Arabidopsis thaliana: one gene and its partner. The protein of the gene in region 2 purifies or fractionates together with the protein of the main gene of each other region. This does not show direct contact. Each region holds a gene or a part of one and is shown on either strand. Other genes may lie near its edges.

Evidence for each region.
Region 1: the proteins of VDAC2 (region 2) and GAMMA CAL2 fractionate together in Arabidopsis thaliana (co-fractionation; one large-scale study listed by BioGRID). This does not show direct contact.

What each region holds. Positions count from the first base shown.
Region 1 is NC_003074.8:18,031,290-18,037,541, reverse strand, and holds GAMMA CAL2 (gamma carbonic anhydrase-like 2), read right to left. Parts: upstream 2,608-6,252; 5' UTR 2,436-2,607; coding exon 2,042-2,435; intron 1,146-2,041; coding exon 769-1,145; 3' UTR 501-768; downstream 1-500. Other genes in the region: CXE12 (alpha/beta-Hydrolases superfamily protein), read left to right, coding at 1-356; AT3G48675 (egg cell-secreted-like protein (DUF1278)), read right to left, coding at 2,991-3,350; IDN2 (XH/XS domain-containing protein), read right to left, coding at 3,927-4,163, 4,253-4,462, 4,570-4,857, 4,935-5,024, 5,099-5,820, 5,906-6,252.
Region 2 is NC_003076.8:26,929,647-26,938,150, reverse strand, and holds VDAC2 (voltage dependent anion channel 2), read right to left. Parts: upstream 2,992-8,504; 5' UTR 2,929-2,991; coding exon 2,880-2,928; intron 2,651-2,879; coding exon 2,583-2,650; intron 2,355-2,582; coding exon of another isoform or gene 2,274-2,354; intron 2,004-2,273; coding exon 1,893-2,003; intron 1,806-1,892; coding exon 1,719-1,805; intron 1,628-1,718; coding exon 1,419-1,627; intron 1,335-1,418; coding exon 1,059-1,334; coding exon of another isoform or gene 1,028-1,058; exon of another isoform or gene 668-1,027; intron 619-667; coding exon 501-618; downstream 1-500. Other genes in the region: AT5G67510 (Translation protein SH3-like family protein), read left to right, coding at 1-181; AT5G67490 (succinate dehydrogenase assembly factor), read left to right, coding at 3,457-3,783; BT4 (BTB and TAZ domain protein 4), read left to right, coding at 5,622-5,891, 6,032-6,162, 6,271-6,577, 6,653-7,096; FH6 (formin homolog 6), read right to left, coding at 7,939-8,504. UniProt on the Arabidopsis thaliana protein: Forms a channel through the mitochondrial outer membrane that allows diffusion of small hydrophilic molecules. The channel adopts an open conformation at low or zero membrane potential and a closed conformation at potentials above 30-40 mV.

The DNA of each region.
Region 1 (6,252 bases), on a different chromosome or scaffold from region 2:
AGAAGGATACGAAAGATGAAACGTTGAGGATGAAGATAGAGGCGTTTTGGATGATGGCAAGTCCTAATAGCAAAGATGGAACAGATGATCCGTTGCTCAACGTGGTGCAATCAGAGTCGGTGGATTTGTCTGGGTTGGGTTGTGGTAAGGTTTTGGTAATGGTGGCTGAGAAAGATGCGTTGGTGAGGCAGGGTTGGGGTTACGCGGCTAAGCTTGAGAAGTCTGGTTGGAAAGGAGAGGTTGAAGTGGTGGAGAGTGAAGGAGAAGATCATGTTTTTCATTTGTTGAAACCTGAATGTGATAATGCTATTGAAGTCATGCATAAATTCTCAGGGTTTATTAAGGGAGGGAACTAGCTTTGTGCTCTCTAGAGATATTGGAATAATTTGGTACTACATATTTTAGTTGCGTCTCTCAGTTTCTGTAATGTTTCAGTGATTGGCTTTTCGCCCAAAGCAACACAATAAAAATTGAAGATGAAAATATTTTAGTACGAGATGTTTAATTCTATAACACTACGAGATTATTAGCTTTTCCAATTGTGAGGGGAGACGAAAGAAGTTTTACACTTTCCAGTTTTCACCATTATCATCTTCATAGAAAGTTTGAACACAAGGATATGAACTTAAACAAAACAAACAGAGAAGACAACATTTGAAACACAGCTCTGCTCTTTTTCTTGTTCCGCAGCTACTTATTCAGATCAAATTCCGAAAACGAAGAAGCTTTCTTAATGAGGGAAGTAGCCAGAAACCTGGAAGAAGCTTTCTAGATGGCGATTCCAAGGGATTTCTTGAACTTCTCAACCTCTAGATAGATAGTTGAGTAAGGCAAGAACTCTGAGAAGTAATCTCCACTTAGGTGGTTAATGGCAACAGCAAGTTTCGGGATCTCTAAGGTTTCTTCATTGGTGAGTGTTCGAATAAACCTTGCTGGATTGCCTCCCCATAGTTCACCAGATGGGATTCTTCTGCCAGGTGGTAAAACAGAACCAGCTTCTAGGATTGAGCGGGTTTCGACCAGTGAACCTTCCATTAGGATTGAGTGTTGCCCGATGATGCATTCTGGTTCGATAGTGCATGATCTTAAAAGACTGTATGCACCAACTGTCACGTACCTATCGATCAATGTTTGTGCTGGTAATCCTGAAAAAAATCAAAGTAGAAAGTATCTTCTAAGATCAGATTTTTATCTATCATATCAAAATTCAAAAGCAGCACCACAGTATGCTCTATCCTTCAAGATGTTAGTATAGAAAAAGCATGAAGACTGGTTGATAATACAGAGCTATTAACCCGAAAAAATGGTGAATCAAGTAATTAAGTACTAGTTGTAAACTACAGCTTAATCAAACCAGGAGGCTGTTGAACTAAAGACTTTGACACGGAATCCACCTTGGTAAGACTAAAAGACGCTTATGTTCATTCAGCTTGACGCAGCTTCAGAATCTCGGTTCCAACCACTGAATATAATATCAACTTTCTGCAAAATTCTCTCCGCATAACTAAAAATCTTTACTATGACATAGTTCCTGAAACTTCTCCAGAGCTGCTAGGCAACTTTCTACAACTAAACAAGATGGTCTCCACCATGCTAATCTATTCAACCCCTGAATTACCTAAATTTTAAAATCAAGCACATATCATCAATGGGTTTCTTGCTTCCAATATCACTAATCACCTAAAGAACTACGCAATTCTATGCATCCTTGTCTAGCTAAACGCAAAATGCTCTGAAGATTAACTTTACTGAACAAATATCATTCATGATTCTTGATCTGGGGACATCTTCACTCCAAACAAATATGCTTACTTACACTTCACTACTTCAGATAAAAGTGTAAAATCTCCTTAAAGGTGAGACTCTACATTTTCCATAATCAAAATGGAAGATGAAAATGAAAACCCTAAATTCCAATATCAATGATTCCATTAGCTAGCAAGCAGTAACTACAGCAATTGGATATCCAGAACTCAAACTAGAAGCTACAATGGAACCATACAGAGACTCAAATTCCGAAAAAATGACAAAGAACAAGAACCTGTAGGCGACGACCACGCAGCATGAACAACACACCGTTCCTGGACATTTGAGCAGAATCCAACGGTGATCTTATTAAGATCTCCTCTCAAAACGGCACCGTTCCATACAGACGAGCCGTCCCAGACGGTGACCTGACCAGCCAACACAACGTTAGGTGCCACGTAAGCATCTACAGCTACCTTCGGTAGCCACTGTCCCAGAGGAATTATCTGTCTCTGGCCTCTGTAGTCCCATTTTACCCGATCCGGCGACGGCGTCACCTGCGATTTCGGTTTAGGTGTTTCCGTCGTCGCCACCGCTACTGCTTCCGCGGCGAAGTAACGCCGAATCAGATTCGATGAAACAGCCGATGTTATGCTTCTTTTAGAGATTCGTGCTAACGAAGTCGCCATTGTTATGGAATCGGATTCTTCAAGGTCTTGTGTAGAGAGAGAGAGAGAGAGACAGAAAGCTTCCCGGAGGAGGAGACAGAGAGGAGTCGTCGGGAGATTCTTCAAAATCTGAAAAATGAAACTATTTGGAAAGTTTTATTGGGCCTTATGGGCTAAGTTAATAGAGGCCCATTAGTCATGCCATTGTCTGCAACAAGTTTCATGTACGATATAATCTTTTTGGTATGGTATTGATATGCGTTCGTGTTCGTCGTTTTTACAAATTTTAAATGCTGAAATATGTTTTATTCCATAGTGTAAGAACAATATTTTCATATATAAACGCAAACAAAATTTTGTTTATGTTATAACCACTCTTTTAACAAACTACATGGCAAACACATACGAGTACATCAAAAAGCTTAGCTTTGTTTATTTTAAGCTAAAGATTACAAAAAAAAAAAAATTACTGCAAGGAGAATTTTGGATTATTGGGCATTGTGATCTCTCAAATCGATAAAAGAACTTCTTAAACCTCGAAGCTAACAACTGGCTCGCAACATTTGTGTGTAGCCTTCACTTGTGTGTTGATGATGGAGTCGTAGCAATACGCTCGCAGTTGTTCTTGAGAATAGGAGGGAAGAATGGGTTCAATGGAAACATATGTGGCCAACAGTTTGTATCTATAGCTGAAAACGTTTTACAACATGGGGCTTCAATGCTAGCAAACTGACCAGAAAATATCGATTTGTAGATTTCTTGTACACATCCTTGGACGTTAAAGAGAGATGACCAACATTTTATGATATCAATAGGAAGACCCGGTGGGAAAAGTCCGGGGATCGTAGGGAGTGCTTGAGAGAACCCTGGCCTCACTTGAAGAACAATGGTCATAGCTAAGATCACAAAGAGAATAGCTCCTGAGTTGTTTTCCATCTCTCTCAAGCCGGTTTTCTTCTTTCTCCTTTAAGGTTCTTTGCAATGATGTAGATGATTTTGGCTATATTCACGAAACTTAGATTTATAGGGTTATAAGATGAAAACAGTGTTAGCATAATAAGGAAGGGGTCAATATCAAATTTGACTACAAAAAGTAACTCATGACAAAGTTTGTTTTTACAATAAAAGGTTCTAAATGACATGCTTAAGATATGAGACAGAAGAGAGGCCAAATCTAGTTGTTTTACATGTGAATTATATTACAATGATATTTTTATTTCTTATTGTCCAAAGCGGCCAAACTCCTACAAATGTTACAATGAAAAGAACCGATGCAAGACATCAAAGTTGTGTCAATTATTCACTAAGTTCTGAGAAGAAAAACAAACAGAATCCACCAAAGTTTGGTCAAACCAAACACATTTCTCTGCAACTAAAAACCGCATCGGCTTTTTATTCAGTCCCATGTCCATCATCTTGCAGCTGCAAACCATCAATCGAAATCCTATATTAGCAAATAACAATTGCAAATGAAAACATATTTTTGTTCGGTTATCAAAAATGGTTAAACCTCTAAGCCATTCCACGCTTGCGTTTCGCCTTTTCCCATTGATCAAGTAAACAAGTGACACCTTCTTCAAGTGTAGCCTTCTTATCTGCTTTGAAGTTCCATAGCTCTGTTGTAATATACCTTCCACTCGGGTTATACTCGTTTATCTCCAACAAAGCTTTCGTGACCGCATTGTAAGGACCATCTCCCAAATCTGCCTTTAGCTCCCTCAGCTTTTCGTCTCTATCATCTATCACTTCCTAAACACAATTAACAACAACACCAAAAAAGCTTTTTAATCTTTCAGAGAGATTCAACATAACAAACAGAGTCAAGAAGGCGGTCTTACCACTTCTCTATCTTCATTTTCGAGCTTGACCCGCTTGAATGGATGCCAATCTGAATCTTTGAGATAGTGTTCCCAAAGTTGGAGAACTTCAACTGCTCGGTCCTCCACATCTTGCTGACAATACTTCTGCTGCATTGCATCCACGAATGGTTTCGTCACGAGCTCTCCCATTCTCTTAACACCGATATTTGTGTTCCATTCTTTCATAATCTATGAAGGCACATGAAACAAACAAAACCAAGATTTTAGTAAAATGTCAAGCTTTCTCATAGCTTTTCGATGTGATTGAAAAGAACAACACTTTGAATGATACATACGTTTACCAATTCTTTATGAGCTTCTTGAAGCTCATCGTTGGTCCTGCGCTCTCTAAGGATAAGAGTTTGGTTAAATTTATCGAGATCTGCGAGTTGTGCTTCCTTCTCACCTAAATCTTTGAAGATGATGTCCACCTCTTTCACAACTTCAGCATCGCCATCTGATGCCATGTGCTTCATCACATTGAGCTGTCCTTTCAACTGCTCAACTTCTAGCTCAATCGCTTGTTTCTGATCTCTCTGTCTTTCTAGTCTTATGATTTTCTCATGAAGCTCCTCCTTTTGCCTCTGTTAGGTACAGAATTTTCTCAGTAATCACGAAAATAAGCCCAACCATTTTTACAAAGAAGAAGAAAGTCACTAACCCTTTGGTCTTCAGCAAGTTTTTTAACTTCCTCGTCTGCCTTTTGTTGTTCCATGGCAGCTAGTTCAAGAGAGCTATTCTTAGATGCATTCTGATAAGAGAAAAAAACCAATTATTTCTTGAACATATATCTTGAAAAGAGAGATACAGAGAGTAAATGGATACCTGTTCAAGATCTTCAGACAATTTCATTCTCTCGGTTCCATTGTGCACTTCGCGCTTTGCCAACTCATTACATTTGATTTCGAGTTTCTTCCTCTCTGACTCCAACAGCCTCTTCAATTTCTCATGATCATCAACTATCTTTTGAATGTGACTCATTGTTCTTTCTTGTATAGCATTCAGCTCACGGTAATGCTTTTGCTGATTCTTCTCCTTCTCTTCCATCAACTGATTAAGTTCCTCTGACTTAACTGAACAAAGCTCCTCAATCTCCTTCATGTCTTTTTTCTTCTCTTCTACAAGTTGTCTCAGGTTCTGCACAAGCAATTCCTGTTTCCTCGCCTCTTCTTCCGTAAGCTCAGCTATAGTTTTCAGATCACCCGTCTTCCTCAAGTTTTCTCCAATAATATTATTACCGTTATAATCATCAGCACGAGCAATCCAACCGTAAAGACCTAACTTGGGACCGTCTTTCTTCAACCAGTCCTTCTTCCCATGACCATCTACTGTATAAGCCTTGTCAAACAAAAGACCATTGTGAAGTCCATTCCAATCTTTGTTAAACTCCACAATAGCTGTTCCTGAATGTCCCAAGTAGTTCCATAAAGGACGAACTCTAGTCGGGTTAAATCCTCTTAGAATATACTCATCCCTTAGCTTCGATCCACTCTCGCCCGCAGATCGACCATCTTGTGCCTTTGTAGTTGGAATATTCACCACAATACCTGTTTCAACCACATATACACAAACACTAAACACACATTGCAGTACAATCTTAAGGAGAAAAGTAAGAACCTTTAAAGTGTGTACCTTTCCAAGGATACACAAGCTTCTCGTCATGATCACAATCTTGAATAGGGTTTCCGTTTTTCTGACGCTTTGATGAAGGCTCTGCTTCTGAAGCTGAATCAGCAAGATCTTGTTGAAGGTATTTGACAAGAGCAAGGTGACTTGCTTTCTCCTTTGCACTTCTTTTATCAGAATTGCTATTACCAACTCCAGAAGCATGTTGAAGAAGATCTTTGTATTGAAAACTAGTTTTCTTCTTGTTTGGACAATAAGGACAGATAAAAGCTTGAGGAGAGAGTCTCACTTTCAGCTTCCCACCTTTAAGGTTTAGGTACATTTTGTCTCCATACTCATCCATTTCAGATTCA
Region 2 (8,504 bases):
GAAAGTCAACGGATCCACGGTCAACGTCGGAGTCAATGCTTCGAATGTGATGATCACTAAGCTCCGTCTCGATAAGGATAGGAAGTCGCTTTTGGAGCGTAAGGCTAATGGACGCGCCGCCGCCGATAAGGAGAAGGGAACCAAGTTTTCAGCCGAAGATGTCATGGAGAACGTAGATTGATCTTAACGTATGGTTTTTTCTTCTTCTTTTCTAGTTTTCTATTTTGATTTCATTGATGATGATATGATTCAGAATTCGAAGTTGAATTTTGTGGTTTTCTTATCAATGTACCTCATTTATGCTTATATTTCTAGCTATTGAAATTGGACTGAGATTTAAATCCTTATTGATAATTCATCATTCATTTCAATCAATCGTTGTATACGTTAATTCTTCTTGGTGTCGGACATATAGACTGGTAATTGCAAGTTGTGAATTGTAAAGCTCTACATGATCTCTACACCAATCGTAGAAAAAATGGTAACATTTGAAGTTAGGCTCAACAATATTGGGAGAATCTCCTTTGCGAATGTACCTCGATGACAAGCAGCTGATCAACTAAACCAAACTGGCTCGTTGTAGAAACGGTTTTTATTTGTATCCTCCTATCATTGTTCCTAAATTATGAAACCCACTATCAGTCTCACGGCGGAAGAAGGAACCATTAACTTGTTTATCTAAGATTTGCTAATGTCTAAGAGATTTACATCATATCAACTTGTTTATATGTTTTTTTGTTTTTTTAACTGGATTGTACTAAAAGAAAAGAAAAAAATCACTGAGTGTATATTCAAGAAGAGTGCTTAATTATAAAAGAAAGATAAAAAAAAAACCAAAACCGAGCATATCCAAAAAAAGAATTATCCGTCAATTTCACTGCGGAACTATTTATTGATTCCAATTAAACGTAAGGAAAAAAGGAGGAAAAAAACGCTAACTCTCACGTCCTGCCGTAGAGGAAATCAACAATGAGAGCATACGAGAAAAGTAGGAAGACTCAAGCAGGTCTGATGTGAGTGTGTGTTCTCAAGGTTTGAGAGCAAGAGAGAGACCAAACCTTGGATGCTTTTCTAAAGCCTTAGTGTCAATCTCACTGGAAACAGTCACTAGTGATCTGGGCAGGACCTCGTGCTGCAGAAGAGCACCAAGTGTGCCATGGTTGTTGAGCTTAGCTTTCACTGCAGTCGAATGATCAATCGCATACAATCCACCAACCGTTATCGTGTTTTCATTTGTCGAGAACTTCCTGTAAACCTCACCAACTGCTGCGGTTCTCTTAAATTCATCAAAGTGATGAAGGTATGATGCTTTGAGTGAGTCTCCTTTGTCTCCCCTGGAACAAAAAAAACTCAGATGAGACCCACACAAGCCACATCTAGAGCTAGTGATTGCTTTATTTTGAAATTTGTATTCTTACAATATTATGGAGAGGCAAGCATCTGGTTTTGTCACACTGATCCCGGCATTGTACTTGGTGAAAGTTTTGGAGGTTGTGTCATATCCAGCTTCAGCACCAAATGAGATGACTGGCGAACCAAGAGTAGCTGTTATGTCAATTAGTGGGTTTTGTTTCAAAGCTGCAGCAGCGGTAACTGTTGCGTGGTCGTGGAAGTATTGCACCTCGAGCTGTTAATGAAATTCAAAAGCTGAAGGATTAATTTTCATTCAAACCACTGAGAAGTAAACATCTGTGATTTCATTAAAAAGGAATATAAACCTTGGCGGAATTATAATCAGGGACTTTGAAGGAGGCAATGGCTTTTGTTGATGGGAGGATCTCGGTAAGTGTGACTGTTGTCAAAACCTGTAAGGAAAAAATACAAACACGCTTAACAGATTAATCTGGTTTTAGATGATAAAGTGTATAATAGATCTCTACAACAACGCTTACACTAGAATCAGTGTCGATTTTAACATCAAACAAAGCATTCTTGTACTTGTATTGGGTGGCAACATCAGCAGCATGAACTCCTCCTTTCTTCAGAGCAGTAGACGTAAGGGCCTAAACAACAGAACACAGACCAAAAATAAAAAAAATTAAGGCTCTCCATTCGTATAATTAACCATGGAGTTAGACTGCTAGATCATATGCAGACAATCATTAGGTTTCTAAATACAAAAGTGCAATTAGCTAATTGAAACTGTCACAAACAATAACTTAATAATTTTACTATAAGCAGCGCACCTAAAGAAGAAATTGTAAAATGAATCATATAGTGGAGTTCTTATGGCATATTTTTGTAACCAAAGTGAAATCTATACAAACGTTGACCTCATTTTCACTCATTATCAAACATCTAGTTCTTAAACAGAAGTAAATATCATCCTGATACTCGTTCTCTCTCTCAGTTCCCTTGACAATTACCAACACAGAACTTAAGAAATCGATTTCAACATGGAGATCGATCAGACCAAGAACATATACTCTTAAAGGTCTAATCGCAGCTAAATAAAAACGGAAAACACAATGGTTGAAAACGAATATCAAAACGATACTCCACAAATTTAACCACGCATTAAAACCGAAATCGAACAAGAGTCTGAAAATAGTACAGAGTTTGCATCGATATAATAAACATACCACGCCGGAGGCACTGTAAGTGGAGATACTGAACTTCTGATCGGAATTGTAGTCTCTCGTCAACAGATCTACAAAGAAGGAAAAATCAAAACAGAAACAGCTTAAACTCGATAGGATCACCCAAAATATAATCAAAATCTAAAAATCATTTCAATCTACAGGATAAACAAATTCGAAACACCAGAACTTCGAATCAATGAACAGGCATAAACGCACGCACTAATTGCGCGATTTCAACCGGAATCTTAACGATGAGAGAAGGAATATAGAAGAAGAGCGATACGATGATAATTATACCTTTGGCTTTCTTGCCGATATCGGTGAAGAGTCCTGGACCTTTGCTCATGGTTGATCGGAGATTGAGAGAGATCGGCAGGCGGTGAAGATATCAAGATAGAAGAATTACGACTTGTTTTTCTCGTGGTAGACGAAAATAAATAGCGAAGCCAATACTATATAACAGCCTGTGACTTTTCTTTAGTGACTAACCACTCACAGCCGTTGATGTGGCACAAAAAAACACATGACGCTTTATGAGATAATCGAATCGCTTTTTGGTAATGAGGTCTAATATATAAAAAGGTTACGGGTTCGAAATCAGCCCACGTCAACTTTACCCTCTAATTCTCTCCTATTTGTTTTATAAACATGTTAGGCCTAGCTCCTGATGGGCTTGTTAAACATAATTATACTGGGCCAAATTTACTCTCTAATTCTCTTAATTTATTTATAAACATGTAAATGATTGGGCCTAGATACTACTGGGCTTATTATCCAATTATGGCCCAACCTAAATGACTATCGAACCCTATACTATCACAAACCGTGAAGGTCGGATCTCTTTCTTGATTTGGCCGACACATCTGATCTAACAATGGCGACGAACAACATCGTACGTTTGATCGCTCCAAGCCGATCCGTCTCCTCTAGATTCCTCGAGCCAGTGTCACGGTTTCTAAGCTCCGGTACACCTCCTCCGCCGCAAGCTCCATCTCCGAATCAGGATCTGAACCGGGACGTGAAGCCAGATCAGAATCTTCAACAGAATCTGCAGATGCAGAAGGAAGAAGAAGAGGAAGGAGAAGGTGGTGGAGGTGGAGAGTTTGTGAACGAAGATACTGGTGAGATTGGAGGGCCTAGAGGTCCTGAACCGACTCGGTACGGCGATTGGGAACAACGTGGTCGATGCTCTGATTTCTGAGAGGATTCATGTATCCCTGTGTTTTAGCTTGTTCTTATATATTTCTGGGAAAAATGGAAATAAATTCGTTTTATGTGTTTATGTATTTGCAAAATAATGGAGAAAATGGAAGAAAATGTAGTAGAACTTCAAATTCGTTGCCTTTATTTGGATCATCATTCTCTGGTGATCTTGTTATTCCAGTAATAGTTAATAAGTTCTTCCTCAGGTGGGTTAAATGTGCATCTATACATCTCTATCTAAAAAATTTGGGACACTTTAATACAGGTTTAGTGATGATTTAGAATTAAGGAAACAACAAGAGATGAGTTTAACTAACCTGAGAGTTCAGAGTTCAGGTTTGACATTACCCGGTGGTTACATGAGTTCTGGTCCAAGTTTAGGCATGGCTGCATGGGTCAGTGAGATGATGTCAAGGTATTTCTGTTGTTCAACAACATTGCAATGTGCACTTCTGTGATAACTACAATTGCACAACTGGGTGATGCTCAAATTACAATTAAATCCGTATATGATATAAAATTACAATTAAAAATATCAGTTTACATGATATATGTATTATGTTCCAATACTCTTTAAAAGTTAGAAAAAGATTGGCATCATCATGCATTTTTTTTTTTTTTTTTTTTTTGAAGTTCTTATAACTTTACTCCGATCAAAAACTAAAAAAAAATACAAGAAAATGATCATATAAAAAGCATTTTGACTTCTTCTTCTTCTGTTTTAGATTATTCGATAGAAGAAACGTGGCATTATAGTAAACACAGAAAAAAAGGGAAAAAAGGGTAACAATCAATTCAAGCGAAGCTAAGAAATATGAAGAGAGACCAGTAAAATATTTATGACGCAATTTTGCGGACCTCAACATAATTCACGATTAGTTAACATTTTTGAAGAGAGTATCTGATCATGTGGTTAAAATTAAGACTAATCTAAATTTATCTTTGAAGAAGAAAGGATAATAATACGGATAAAAGTTTGAAAAAACGAACAGCTAATTATGAGCTGTGTAACGCCGAACAAGAACAAAAAAAACAAAGGACACACTGATCTGTTTTTGTACGGCTCTTAAATTAAATCATTTATAAAAAAAAAACATGCAGAGTCGTGTTTCAATTGATAAAGCCGATAATAAAACCAACTTGACGAAAGCTTTTTCAAGAACGAGGAAAAAAGGCCGTTAAGGCGCGTGGATTCTCAGCCGTCCGTTTCGTAACCGTAGACTCCACGCGCCTCTCGGGTAATTTTCGCAGGTGGGTGTCTCTGTTGATGATATGAACCAAGAAAATATCTTCAAATTATTGAACACAAAAGTAAGAAAAAAGTGAGATAATAAGGAAATTAAAACAATAAATTATCCTTTCGGTGGGATTTTTTTTGTCGTCTTCTATTGTTTTTGTGAGTGTGTGTGTTTATATAATGGTAAGAGATCTCTGATCTCTCAAGCTTCTCTATAGAGAGAGTTTCTTCTCATGCTCTTTCTACCAAGGAGAAGATTTTCTCGTTAATTTTGTTTGACTTGCCTCTTCGAAGCAACCTGATTCTGTGGTCTGAATCTTTTCAAGGTATATATGTCGGAACAAATTAGAGCATTGATTGATTCTTGTTCTTACATTTTCTATCGATCTGTTTCAAGAATTCTTGTTATTTCTGATTGATATTTTCGTGTGAATATATATGTAGAGATTTGTTCTTATCCTATTCGATTTGTAATCGTAAATGAGATCTGGTTACATAATGCTGTGAAAATTGTTGTCTGAGTCACATATTTCGTGTAGAAATGACAATGAAGTTTATCTGTGGCTAAAGAATCGACAATATATATTTTCATTTGATTGATGCAGGGAAGAGAAGATAAGCTAAACAAGAGAATGGTGACAGGTTGTGTTGATCTTCATCAATCTTTCAAATCTGCAGATTCATCTTCTGTGCCAATTCCTCCTCCTCTTCCATCAAAATCTGATGGACTCAAGAAAAAACTTGGGCATAGCAGCGTTTCGACAGCCACAAGAGATATGTGGGATCGTCTTTTCAATGACGGATACAAAGCTGATGTAGTCATCTATACAGATAATGGCAGTATCATCTATGCTCATGCCAACATCCTTGTAAGCTCTCCTTATAACTCCTTTGACCATAATTATCAATGTGTAGTTAGGATCTTTAGCTAAGCGAATACAGACTTTAGCAGTTGATTAGAAAGGTCTAGACTTGGTTGATATGGACATTGTCTTTCTTGAATTAATAGGGAACTGCTTCCACTGTGATCAAAGGCATGTTGAAGCAAGCCAAGAGACATGGCAAGTGGCATACAATATCAATCCGAGGTGTCCCTCATGATGCTGTGCGAGTTTTTATCCGTTTCCTCTACTCTTCTTGGTATATATAAATTCCATTTCTTCTTGCTCTCTATATTTATTTGCTCTGCCTCTTTTAACATTCGTCTTATGATCTTTTCACTGACGAAATCTGATTTCCTTTGTGTAGCTATGAGAAAGAAGAAATGAACGAGTTTATCATGCATTTGCTACTTCTGTCACACGCGTACGTGGTTCCTCAGCTGAAACGGGTCTGTGAATGGCATCTAGAACATGGTTTGCTTACCACTGAGAATGTGGTTGATGTGTTCCAGCTTGCGCTGCTGTGTGATTTCCCTCGGCTTAGCCTCATATCTCACCGTATGATCATGAAACACTTTAACGAACTCTCTGCGACAGAAGCATGGACAGCTATGAAGAAAAGCCATCCCTTTCTTGAGAAAGAAGTTAGAGACTCAGTAATCATCGAAGCAAATGTAAGTAGTGATTTAATAAACTTCCTTTTTTCCCTGTATTTTCTCCTAAATTCTAAATCTTGAACATAAACGCAGACGCGGAAAGAGAGGATGAGAAAACGCAATGATCAGAGGATATATTCGCAGCTATACGAAGCAATGGAAGCACTTGTTCATATATGCAGAGATGGATGTAAAACAATAGGGCCACACGATAAAGATTTCAAACCGAACCATGCAACGTGTAACTATGAAGCTTGCAAGGGATTAGAATCACTGATCCGGCATTTCGCAGGCTGTAAGCTAAGAGTTCCAGGAGGTTGCGTGCATTGCAAGAGAATGTGGCAACTCCTTGAACTGCATTCACGTGTTTGCGCAGGTTCTGATCAATGTCGAGTCCCTCTATGCAGAAACCTTAAGGAGAAGATGGAGAAACAGAGCAAGAAAGATGAGTCGAGATGGAAACTTCTGGTGAAGAATGTATTGGGGAGTAAGAAAATCGGAGGCTCTCCTTTCTTTTTACCGGTGACAAACTGTTAAAAAACATTTTGTCAATCTCAAGAAGGGCGAGTTTTAAGCGTTTCTTGTGATCCTATCTTTAAAACAAGTGTAACATAATGAGTTTGAATAAATGACACATATTTTGGTCGGCCAAGAGAGTCTCTGGAATATCAAATCCGGTCTACGGATCGGTTTAGTGATTAAGTGGCAAAATTGGTAATAAGCTCAGTGAGTCATCTTGTTGTGAAATGAACAGAAGAAGAAGAATCTACCAAATTTTATAGGACCCAACTTGCTTTGTTATTTTTAATAAATCCAAATATGGAAAAAAGGAAACGAAAAGATCGTGGTGGGAAAAAGTGACGTAGAACAAGACAAAAGCAGTAAGAGCTGAGAGGACGTGGTACAAGTGTACACAAAATCGGCCTCACTCACATCACATGTTTCTATTTCATTAAATTAGTAATGTTGGAAACATTCATTGTCACAAAACCAAATCCTCAACAATGATCGTATCATGTGTAGTATATATTTTCTTCTCCTTTCAAAATCCCTTTTTCTAATCACTTTCGTATTGGGTTCTGATTCCTTCAACAACAAAGAAACACAAAACTTAACCAAAATCAAGAAATTACGAAATTTTCATATATATATCTATCTATATTTAAATTGCTGACAAATAAAAAACTAAGAAAAAAAAGGTTCCTTATTTGTTACGAAAATTTGATCATTTATAGACTTTAATAGTGTTTGTTACTCTATAAACGGCCGTGTTCTCCGACTAAACCAACTCAATGTCTGATATCTCCTCCGGCTTGAGAAACACCAATTTAATTCTTCGTGTCTTGGTGTAAGAAACTGTACAGCTTTTTGTTTTTTCATCACGTAGAAGAGTTGCTGCTGTGTTCACTATCCGAGCTTGTGTCGTCTTGTCTTGCTTTATACCTATGAAGAACCGGTAACGAAGCTGTTGCTGAAATCCTGAACGATCTAGCTGAAGCTGAACCCATCGATGTCGACATTTCTTGCATCGTCTTCACTTCTTTACAAACGTTATCGAGAACTCCGAGAAAATCTCTCACCACCATGAAGATTCTTAAAGGATGTGCTTCTTCTCTCGCAGCGTTTCCGTGGAAATACTCTGTTACTTCTTTCACCATTGACAAAGCTTTTCTTTCTCCTCCTTTAATCTTTCGGATCTCTTCCTCTGCTTCTTTGAGAAACGTTTTCATCGAATCAAAGAACCTCCCTTGAGTTGTCTCTGTCTTGAGAAATGATCGGAGTTTATCAAGACCCATTTCGAGCTTTGTCACGTAACTGCTCAGTACATCGAAATCCATTCCGGCTGATTTTTTCACATTAACCAGATCTCTACTGAGTCCAGCAACTACTTGTAATCCTTGCTTTCTGAAACCGTCATTGTTTCCATGGAGGATGGTTTCATCTT